Linked DNA regions of Alligator mississippiensis. The protein of the gene in region 1 purifies or fractionates together with the protein of each later gene. This does not show direct contact. Links are inferred from orthologs where the notes say so. Each region holds a gene or a part of one and is shown on either strand. Other genes may lie near its edges.

The links. The genes of interacting proteins can lie anywhere in the genome.
Region 2: the proteins of PARP1 (region 1) and CTCF purify together in Homo sapiens (affinity purification with mass spectrometry; 6 studies listed by BioGRID and IntAct, with this or other methods). This does not show direct contact. The link is inferred for Alligator mississippiensis from reciprocal best matches to the Homo sapiens genes PARP1 and CTCF.
Region 3: the proteins of PARP1 (region 1) and TOP2B purify together in Homo sapiens (affinity purification with western blotting; 3 studies listed by BioGRID and IntAct, with this or other methods). This does not show direct contact. The link is inferred for Alligator mississippiensis from reciprocal best matches to the Homo sapiens genes PARP1 and TOP2B.

What each region holds. Positions count from the first base shown.
Region 1 is NC_081824.1:179,591,591-179,595,335, forward strand, and holds the start of PARP1 (poly [ADP-ribose] polymerase 1), read left to right. Parts: upstream 1-1,134; 5' UTR 1,135-1,188; coding exon 1,189-1,308; intron 1,309-3,745. UniProt on the Homo sapiens protein: Poly-ADP-ribosyltransferase that mediates poly-ADP-ribosylation of proteins and plays a key role in DNA repair.
Region 2 is NC_081833.1:35,453,017-35,456,761, reverse strand, and holds the start of CTCF (transcriptional repressor CTCF), read right to left. Parts: upstream 2,614-3,745; 5' UTR 2,479-2,613; intron 1-2,478.
Region 3 is NC_081828.1:146,786,118-146,789,862, forward strand, and holds the start of TOP2B (DNA topoisomerase 2-beta), read left to right. Parts: upstream 1-1,460; 5' UTR 1,461-1,728; coding exon 1,729-1,779; intron 1,780-3,745. UniProt on the Homo sapiens protein: Key decatenating enzyme that alters DNA topology by binding to two double-stranded DNA molecules, generating a double-stranded break in one of the strands, passing the intact strand through the broken strand, and religating the broken strand.

The sequences.
Region 1 (3,745 bases):
ATATCCATACGCAGGCCTTCCCATGCTGCTACTTCCTGGGGTCAAAAAACCCATGCCAAAAAAAAGTGGGGTGGCACATGTGACAGTAGTGGAGGCTACCCAAAACCAGAAACTGCTCGGCCAGAGCCACACTCCAGCTGCCAGATGGGTTCCCAGCTGCAGGAGCACTGCGGCTGCAGCTCCCCAGGCCCGCAGGTAAGGCTGCTGAGGCCAGCACAGTTGCTGGCCCCAGCCCCCTTTCCCCAATCTGGGGTCACCTGCTGCACACCAGAGCACATGTGGCACAGGCTTTCCCCAGGGACAAGCAGCAGCAACACAAGGTACACCACTGCTACTTGTCCTGGGGGAAATGCACATTCCCGCTCATATGGCCGCAGCCCAAGGGTGCAAACCTCCTCCGTTTTCAGCCACAGAGAAAGCCATCACCCACAAATAGGGTGGCCATCATAGAGGACGTTCCGGTTTTCTGCTACTCTGTCCTCTATTGATACAAAACGGGATGCCTCTATTTTTCTATTCAAGAGAAGCCTGAAGAGCTTCTCTACCCCAGCCATTTTTCAAGAGAAAAATAAAGGACATAAAGGCATCTGGTTTCATATCAAAAGAGGACAACCAAACTGTCCTCTATGATGGCCACCCTACCACAGAACAGCTGTCACCCTGCCTCTTACATATGTCCTGGACCATCACAGAGTGGTAGAAAATAAGGCTTGGAAGGGAGCTCGGGAAGGCATGGAGTCCAAGACCCAGCTCAGACCAGGCCCAGCCTCAACTAGATCATCCCAGGCAAGGGTTTGTCTACCCGGGTCTTAAACCCTTCCAAGGGTCTTAAACCACTCCTCAGGCTCTCCGGCCTTCAGCACCCTCCTGCTCGGAAAGCTTTCCCTCCTGTCCAGCCCCAGCTCCTCTCCCTGCACCAATCCGGACTACTATCACAAAGTAACGGGCCCCATCCCTCAGGCTGCAGACTGCCCCGCCCTCCTCCAGGACCCTATGGGGGCGGTATAGGCGGCGCACGCCACGCCCCCCGCTCAGCGCGCGGCTCCTCCCCCCCCGCCCCCTCCAATCGAACGCTGCGGCCCGCCGGAACATTCCAAAAAAAGGAAAAAAGGCAGCCTCAATCGATCGCCGAGCGCGGCGCAGGCTCGGCGCTCAGCGGTGGGCGCTGCCGGGGCCGGGCCAGGCGCGATGGCGGAGCCGGCGGACAAGCTGTATCGGGCCGAGTACGCCAAGAGCGGGCGGGCCTCGTGCAAGAAATGCGGGGAGAGCATCGCCAAGGACTCGCTGCGCCTGGCTATCATGGTGCAGGTACAGCGCCGCGTTGCTGCAGCGCTTTGTGCCGGGCCCCTTCCATCCTCGCCGGGGGGGGGGCACGTGGGTGGAGGGCGGCAGCGCCTTCCTCCGCTGCAGGGGAAACGCGGGGGGAGCGACGCTGCAACGTGGGTAATACTCCCCACCCCCCGCGCCATCCGCAAGCGCAGCTGGGGGGGGGGCAGGAATCCGCAGTGCCCCGCCCCCGCCTCGCTGGGCTTCCCGCGCTCGGCTCGGCTCTGACGTCACCGCCGGGGGGCCAGCAGCTGGGACTCCCATTGACGGAGACGCAGCAGCGCCCCCTGCTGGTCGCAGTCTTCGGAGGAAATCCCGTGGCTCGGGTGGGGGAGCATGGGCACACTGGCAGAGCATGCAGGGACACTGCCCCTGGCAGGAGAGGGGGTCACTAAGTGCGTGCCCCAGCCCTGAAAAGTGGGATGGGAGCTCGATAGCAGGTGCTCCAAAGGGGGCACTGAGCAGAGTGTGCTGCCCTAAATGAGTCCAGGCAGCCAGTGGGCACTGCCTGGTGCAACTCTGCCCAGAGCTGTGACCCTGTGACAGGCCTCTTTGATGCCTGAGTCCATTGAAGGCGTGGGCCCAAGCAGGAAGGGTTAGTCCCTTCCCCCATGCAGTTAGGGGTTGTTAAGTGTGCACCAGCTGATTTCTTGGGGAGCTGAAGCAGGGGCAGGCACCAGGGTTAGAGATTGCACGAAATGCTCCAAGGAGGGCACTGAGCAGAGCATGTTGGATGGCACTCACTGGCCCTCAAATGAGTCCAAGGAGCCAGTGGGCTCTGCCCAGTGAAACTCTGCCTGGAGACAGGACTGCAGAGGAGGAGGGACAGGAGGATGGCCCCACATTCACTGGGTGCTTTCCCAGCCGGAGCCTCCCTCCTGGTCAGGTGTATGGCCATCTTGGTGGGGCCATGGAAGGGGAGCGGGGAGAAATGCAGCCAGGGCATCAGCAAGAGGATCTTGAGGTGGTGAAGGGGCTGCAGCCTGGTGTGCTAACTCCCTGACCAGAAGATGTAAATGTTTCTGGGGTTTCTTATGTTCTGTTTACCTCGGTTTGCATCTTGGGGACTTTTGGGTGGAAACAGATGGGGGGAAGCTAGAGACTGAAACTGTTTTTAGTTGAAGTGTGAGCTGAATCCCTATTGCTGAAGAGCTGTACAGGCTTCTTACTTGTATTCCTTAGTTTTCCCCAGTGATTTAATACACTTTTTGGAGCATATTTGTCACTGACTTAATTCTTTCTTGTGACCTTTTGTGGGGGAATTTATTTTTAGCAGCAATTTGAATGTTCTCTTCCTTCCTTTGATCTCTCTTAATTGAAGAATGAATCGCCATCCTAGCAGTTCATTTTCACCCCTTGTTCATTGCCTTGTGGCTGATGAAAAGTTTACCTAGCTTAATCAAAGAGAGAGATCTCTGAGCACGCTTTTGCCACAGGACCTGCCTGCAATTAGTAAATACATCTGTCTCTAAATATAGTCTGCCCACAGTGCAGTGTAATATGGCTGCTCACTAGGGTGAAAGAATAAGAAACACATTGGAAAAATAAATGTTGACCTAAAGCTTCTGGTCTGATTTCCCCCTCTCCCTTCAACATTTCCCACCTTTCTTATCACCAGTGCGAGGGAAGGGAGTGATGGCACTGGTATAGGGACTGGACTTCTGATCTCCTCAAGGAAACCTTTTGGTCCTTTAAAACATTAGTGGCAGCTGATACCTTGTCTGCCATACTGCACCCGCTGTTGTTATTACCAGTGCAAAATTGTAAGCAGAAGAGGCTAAAGCAGCCAAGGTATATGTTTTAGTCCTGGAAATTGTGTGTGTTTGTTTTTCCCCAGACCATACAGCTGAGAGGAATACATGTGACAAAGCTGCTATAATAACTACCATGATTAAATTAGAATATTACGCTGTAGGGAAGTTAGGTTCATCTTTGCTTGTCAGGAACACTTTTTTCCAATCTTCTTGTCCTTCCATGCCTTTTCCTTGGACTCAAGTGCTATCTGTAGACAAGGGCATGACAGCCTTCTGAAATTAATCCAGTGTAAAGTGTACAGTTAAGTTTCTTATTAGAGGATTATTGTGATTTAGAGGACTCTAATAGAACACTAACAGAGAGGCTGTTTTTCTGTTTCTGAAAACAAGGAGTGGAGGGGGAAGAGATAAGGTTATAATGTGCTTGGGAATGTTGCCTGTTCCGCAAGGTAAAAATATTGTATCATTTTGTGCCCAGGCTATAGATAAGGAAGCATCTATGCAGTTTGCTGTTTGCACTTTTAGCAAAACCTTGCTAATCTGCACACTTTATAATTAAGAACTGACCCAAGTCACAGCAAGACGCAGAGTATTTTGGTTCCCACTCACAGAGTGCAGAGCTGATTTCATGGGCATTTCATGGTGGCCCTGCCTCTCACTGCTGA
Region 2 (3,745 bases), on another chromosome or scaffold:
GGGCTTTTGCAGGGATACTTCATTCTAGATAATGCCTCCAGCTTGGTGTCAAGATATAAGCAAATATATGTCTTATTACAGCCCATGGAACAACTTTGGAAATAACACGAAGCCCAGCTTTCTCCAGTTTGCTGGAGGGCCTCTTGACAGTACAGGTGCTTAAGAGTTCATGATTTATTTATTTTTTAAATTGAAGTGGCAGGAATACTTAATCGTAGGCATTATTTCTCCCAAATATTCAATAGTGTTAAATTAACTTTAATAAAATAGTTCTGAAGTCTGGCTAGACAGCCTTGTCAATTGACAATGGTTACAAGACCTGAATTTCTTGTAAAGCAAGAAAGAAGGCAGGGCAGAGCAGCATCTTTCAGACTAGCTCATTCAGAAAGGCATATGCTTCTTTAGGGAACAGATCTAATGAAGGAGGCCATTAACTATGGAAGCTTATGTTTTCTGAATGAGTTAGTCTGAGGTATTGCCTAGCTGTGCCTTCTGCATGACTTCAGACTAACACAGCTACCTCCATCTAGTAAAGCAAGGAGAAACAAGGCTGCACTTACTTTGTACACCAGCATAAAGAGAGGCTAGGGGGAAAGAAGTCTCTCTCTGCATATATCATTTTTTTAAAAAGATTCTCTGTTGCTCTGCTTTGAGTGTTTATTTCTAGTCTCTTCTAGCATTTTCCCTTTGTACTAACGTACAAGGTAAGGTGCTCCAAATGAGAAGGAGATCTTGAAAACAATTTCACCACGCAGATGTTTGTAACCATTGCTCCACTGACTTCAACTGAACTCTGCGTAGGTATAGTGAAAAATCAGGACCTCACAAGTCACTGGAAAAGCAATACATACTTAGTGAGCTATTGAAAACCAAGTGTATCAATGATCAGGAAGGGGGGGGGGGGGGCGCTGAACAGTCTCTACAGCTTATTTACAGAGGCTGGTAACCACAGCATGTGAAGTAAAACATTGTTTGTTTTTTTAAATGCACTATAGGTACAAAGAGTTAAAAACAGACATAAGAACCTATCCTTGCCAGTGAGAAACATGATGCCCAATAATCAGCAGTATTCATTATGTTAAGCATGAAGAAAGATGAACCACAGGGTAAAATCTTAAAAAGGTGACCAAGGCTAGTCAAAGTACTGAACACACACAAGTGTACAAGCAAAGTGAAAAATTAGGAGTGTTACAGGAAACTACCAGGAAAGCCTCCTGTGACTATGACTGGCTCATTTATGAGCACTTTAGAAGATGTTTGGGTTTCACATGGAGCATCTCCTACAGTAAGTGAAAGCCAAACAACAAGTGGCATGAAAATAAAGAGAAAAACCAAGGAATCTGCACCAAATCCTATGCTTAGCTGGTATTCAATTTGGCTCTCACAAAATAAAAATAAGAGTCAGAGACCCGATGGGAGAGTGCATGTCAGAACGCCTACAGAAGCAGCCAAATGAAAGCAACCATATAACTTGATCTTTAAATGACTGAAGTGCCAGGTAAACTGTGGAAGACCCTTATTTGCAGGGGGGGGGGGGGGGGGAAATCTGGCCCGTGAGGACACCACCTGCTCCTGCAGGAGCAGACAGCATCGAGTGAAGTCACAAGCGAGAGGCAAAGCCCTGGTCTTGGCCGCACGCACAGGGCTACGCTCCCTGCCGAGGTGACAGCGCATGGACAGCGGAGCCGGGGCGAGGGGGGCCGGCGGGGCCCGCGGCGGGGTGGGGGTGCCGGGCGTGGCGCGGGGCTCGGCCGGGCGGGATCGGGCGCCCCCACGTCCCCGCGCCCGTGCTGCATGGCGCTGCTCAGCCTGCCTTGCAGAGGGAGCTCGAGTCCCGCGCTGCGCCTCGCAGCGCCTCTCACTCCGCAGCGCACACAGCGCAGCGAGGCGGCGGCGGCCGGCAGGAGCGGGACACGCAGCCGCCGACCCGCGGGCAGACGGCGCGGCCGGAGGCGGCCGGCGGCGCAGCCGCCGCCTGGCCGAGCCGCGCGGGCGGACGAGGCGGCGCCGAGGCAGGTTCGGAGGAGCGCGGCGGGCGCGGGGCAGGGGCCGGGGCCGCGCCGCGAGCCGGCGTGTCGTGCGGGGCCCAGCCGGGGAGGGAGGCCTGGGCCCAGTGCGCCGGGCGGGGGCGGAGGCCGGGGCCGGGCCGGGCCGGGCCCGCGGGAGCGGAGCGGAGCCGCGCGGCGGCCGAGGGCGATCGGCCGCGGCGGGAACAAAGGAAGGAAGATGGAGGCCGCAGAGCCCTTGGCCGGCCCGCGCGGCCCTGGCCGGCCCGCGGAGGCGGCGGGGCCCAGCGCCGCGCTGTGGGGAATGGCGGCGGTAGCAGGCAGGCAGGCGCCGGCCGCGCGGGGACGATAGAGGGAGACAAAGCCCCCTGCTTCCCCGGCGGCGGCCGCTGCGGGGCCCCAGCCAGCCCGGAGCCCCATCGTGACACCTAGAGGCCGGAGAAAGCGACTGCAAACCCCCCGCGCCGCTTACCTGCGCCCGGCCCTGCCAGGCCCGCTCCCGCCGCCGGGCCCCGTCGCCGCCGCGCGCCGCCCCGGGCCCCGCGGAGCCGCCGCGCCCTGCACGCCCCGCCGCGGCCGCCGCTAGCGCCCAGCCCCAGCTCGCGGTTTAATCGCTCCACAGTCGCTTCGGACACAAAATGGCGGCCGGCGGCGGCAGTGCGCGTGCGCGAGCGCGGCTGCCGCGGCCGCCGGAGCCGATCGAGCCGGGGGGAGCTGGGTGGGGGCGCGCGGGGCATTCTGGGAAGCGGCCCCGCGCGCCAACTTCAAACGGGACCTGGCCCCGGCGTTACCCGGCCCGACGTAGCGCGTGCGCGCCACGTCACGGCCAAGCGGGGCGGCCTCGGCCCAGGGCGCTGGGGCCGCGCCGGGTCTCGCGCTCTGCCGAGCGGCCGGGGGTGGGGGAGACGCGGCGTCGCAGGAGCGGGGTCGGCGGAGACAGGAAATCACCGGCGCCGCCTTCCGGTGCTGCGCCCATTTATCGCGGGGGCTCCCGGCCTGTGGGCGCGCCAAGCAGCCGTCTTCTCAGGTCCTGCCGGCACGTGCTCCGGCGAGGGACGCGCGGCTCCTGCCAGCCTGTGCCCGGGGCGGGGCGGGGGGCGCGCGCGCAGCCGCCCTGCGCAGAGGCGCTGGGGCCCCGGCCTGGCCGATCCCGGCCCTTCCGTAGGGAGATGGCGCGGTGGGGCCGGGTGCTGCTCCCTTCGCAGCAGTTACAGCAGGTGCCTCGAGTCCAGTAGGCCAGTGTTTCGCAACTTTTTATGTAACAAGTACCCACTAACTTCTGAAAATTTTAAGTACCCCAACACTCAATTTTCCAGGCAATTTTATATTTACTGACTAATGTGTGCTATATGTTGGAAGAAAGGCTGTGTATATAAGGCTGTGATACGACAGATGTCTGATCTGGTGTGGCTGGGGTTGCCACCTTTTACACCAGGGGTGCGCAACTCAAGTATATACATGGGCTAGAGGTGACGTTGCCCAAAGCTACGAGGGCTGGACCCAGTGCCGCATGCCCAGTTATTACTGGGGAATTTAAAGTACCATGCAGTGTGTGGCGCACCAAATTTTTTGCCATAGTTTTGAGAGGAAAAGAAGGTGAGAGAGACAAAGTGTTAGGGTACTTGCATACCCTCTGCCTGTGTCTCGTACCCCCTGGGGTACACATACCACAGGTTGAGAAACTATGCACTAGGCCAGTGCTCATCAACCTTTTTTGTACCAGGACTCATTTGTAAACG
Region 3 (3,745 bases), on another chromosome or scaffold:
CAGGCATGTCAGCTCACATGCTCCACAGACTTGATTAATCGAGTCTGCTCGGACCTGCTGGATTTCCATCTTGTTGGAGCAGACAAAGGTACGTGTATAAATGCCTGGAGGCACTGTATTAAATGCACATTAACTAAAATGCATTAATGCACGTGTAGACATGCTCACTGTTAATCTAATACAGGGAGTCCTCGGACTTACAACACAATTGGTTCCTGAAAACCGGGTCTTAAGTTGAAACCTAACTCAGAACCAATTTTCCCATAGATACAATGTTATAAATAGGGGATTGGTTCCTGAACCAAGGCCCGATGCCCTATTTTCACCAGAAATGGCCCAGATTCTTGTACTCAATCAATTATAGATGAGTAATATAGCTACATTAATGTATGTATATTATAAATAGCAATCGCATTGATTTGGAAGGACTTATTTTGAGGTGACTTTGCTGAACTTTTTGAAGGGCTCTTGGTTGGATTTTTTGAAGGGTTCTTGGCTGGAGTCTTCTCAGGAGTCTTGGATGCAGGTTTTTCTGGAGTCTTGTCTGCTTTCTTAAAGAAAGTGTCCAAGGAAGTTTGGACAGATGTTCTCCAGGGAGATGGGCGACAAAGTGAACTTGTTCGCTCGAGTGGCATCCTGTTGGATCAAGTGTCGTAAAGTCGAAATTGACGTCAGAAAGTTGAAACGGGGTTCAATTTATAAACATTTTAAGTGCCGTTCGTTGCAACTCGAAACATCTTAAGTTGAGGCCTGCCTGTACAGCCTGTCCTCTCCCCACCTCAGGAGGATACGGAATGACTCTCTATCCATGCAAATATTAGGAACCTGAGGGCCCCAGGGTGGACAGCATCAACAACGGGAGCATTGCTGAGGTCTTCTGGGCTCCACCAGGCCAGGCAATCTCCCCGCAGGGGCTCCTGCTTGAAGAAGCCCTCCCAACTACACCCCCAAGGCAGCCAGTGGAAAACCCCACCAGTGCCTGGGGGGCATCCAGCCTGCTCGGCGCTGCGCAGGTGACCTCTCCTCGGCCCCAAGCAGCGGCCACGCTCTGTGGGCTCCTTAAGACCGGTCACATCTCCCCTGCTCCGTCTCTGCCCCCCTCTCCCCGCCACGACCGCTACAGACACAGCTGCTGCCCCTTCAGCACCACAGACCCTCCCACCTACCCGCAGCGTCCCCGCTCGGGCCGCGTCTTCTTCCCTGTTGCCACCCACAGTAACGTCACCGGGCCTCCCTCGGCCCTTTCACTTTCCACCCAGCCCGATTGGCTGGTAACGCTCTGCTCTCGGTCGCCATTGGGCGGCCGGCGGGAGGGGGGGCCGCCGGCGATGCCGGACGGGAGCCGCGCACTTATTGTCTGAGCGCGGCGCGGGGCCGCTCGGGCGCAGGGGGTTGGCGAGCCGGCGCCTGGCGGGGGCGGGGCGGGGCGGGCCCGGGAGGCCTCGCGCGAAGGGAGGTGGCGGCGGCGGCGCTGCTGCTGCTTTGTGCGGCCCCGCGCCCGGCCCGGGCTGTCCGGCCCCTCACGCTGCCCGCGCCGCGCCCGCAGCATGCGCTAGGAGCCGCGGGCCGGGCCGGGCCGTGCGTGTGCTAGGGAGGGAGGGAAGGCGGGCGCGCGGCGGCCATTGCGCGCGCGCCGCTGTGAGGGCGAGCGCGGGGGGAGGGGCCGCGGCGGCGGCGTCTGGCTTCGGCCTTTGCAGCCACGCTCGGGGCTGAGGCGACGGGCGGAAAATGGCCAAGTCCGGCGGCGGAGGCGGAGGCAGCGGGGGACTGACGTGGGTGGTGAGTGTGGGGCCGCCTCTCGTTCTTCCCCCGTTTACCCCCGTCCACGGTGGAGGCCGCGGCGCCCGCATTGGGGGAGGGGTGGCGGCTGCGGGGCCGGGGAGAGCGGCAAATGGCTGCGCGCGGGACGAGGAGCGGGGCCTTGCGGGTGGTGGTGGTGGTGGGGGCGGTATTGTTCCTTGCGGCTGGGGGAGGAGGAGAGCCCAGCTTCACCCCCGGGAGGGCGCCTGGCGGCTGTCGCCTCGCGGGCTCGGGGGCGGCGGAAAGTTACGGGGCACCGGCTGCAAGGACTCGGGATGGGCCGGCCGGGGCCCAGCGGCTGCTTTCGAGGAGCTGAAAGGCCTTTGGCAGCCGCAGCAGCAGCAGGAGGGGGCGGAGGAGGGGTGCTGTCCAGGCCTGTTCAACAATAGCTCGGCTTCTGGGTCTGGAAAGCCCCCAAGGGGGAGGAGACCTGTGGGGACCCGGTTCCCACGGCTGATCAATAATTCACCAGCAGGGCTGTTGCTCGGCCTGGAGTTCAGAGTCGGGTCACTTCCTTAATGTAGCCAACAAGAAGAAGCTGCCTAGCCCCACAGTGGTTTAAGAAACAAAAAGGAAACAAACAACTTTATGAAAGGGGTACTTGGGCACTGCCTCTGCTTTACTGTGTATTGAGTTCAGACCCTTGTCCTTCTAGTAAGATGCTTGTTGTTATAATTGCTCACCTTTCCCTTCATCCTTTGCCCATCTACCACTTCACACCTTCCAGCCCTGTTTTCATCAGAGAAGGGGAGAAAATGGGGGGCACTGGAGATCCTGTCTGGGTGCTGGATGATAAGAGTTGCTTTCTAACTTCTGCTCCGCTTTACGTGAGGAACACTTGCATGAAGTTTCTCATGTTAACAGCAAACTTTTCATGTTGAAAACTGTAAATGCTAGTGGCTATTTCATTTAAAATAATGTCATTATCTAATTACATGGGGGTTTTTTTGTTTTTTTTTTTAATTGTCCAATCTAATCTTCAATGTTGACATGTTGGAGAAAGATTTAGACTCGAGTAAGCAGTAGTGATGCGATGTGTGTGTGTGTGTACGGCAAGAAAATGCCTTGGCACAGAAACAAGAGAAGGGACTATATTATTTTGATTGTCTACTTGTTTTTCTTCTAAAATAACCATAAAAATCACACTTTTATATAGGGCCAACCCTACAGGCTTGACTCCTATAAGGAAGTCAGAAATAGTTTTCAGTTGTTGGGTTTATTTTTGGGGGTTTTTTTAAGTATTGTATTTTTGTGTATTTAACCCTTTTTTGGTCTTCTGCTTGGCCATATCTTCTGTGGGTGTTTTTTTTTTTTAAGTGGGATCAGTCCAATTCGTAGTCATTGACTTTGCTTCAGGGAAAGAGGTGTGTGTCGATTTTTTTTTTCTCCCTTCCTAAAATTAAACCTGAAAATGAGGAATGGACACATACATCTCAATTATAAATCTACCATGCATGGTAGGTAGTGAAATTTACAACATTGTAACTGAACAGTCTTTCTGTTAATTCTTTTCAGTTCTAAAAAGGATGATGTTACCAGTTTCAGACACCGCTTATTATACTGCCTCCCCTTACAGGTTTAGTTTCTCAGCTCAGCATACAGATCTAGGGAGCTATTGTAAAGGTTTAACTGGACTCAGGACTTCGGTTTTCCCTCTTTGATGCTTCAAACATTGAAAATACAGCTGTCAGTGGACAAGCTACCAGAGGCACCTGTAGTGGATGGAGAAATGGGAGCATAATGCTAGGGCTTCTTTAGGGCTTTCTTGGTGTAGCTCCATGCGTTTAGCGGTGATATATGAGGAACTAACCAGACCTTGCCACTTGGGCTGATTGTCTAGATAACTTTTCAGCTTGGTTCAGCCCTGCATGTATGCTTTTTTCTACAATTGGGGTCTCTATTTAGGAAGGAAGAAAAGCTAAAATTACACATGGCAAACATGCTT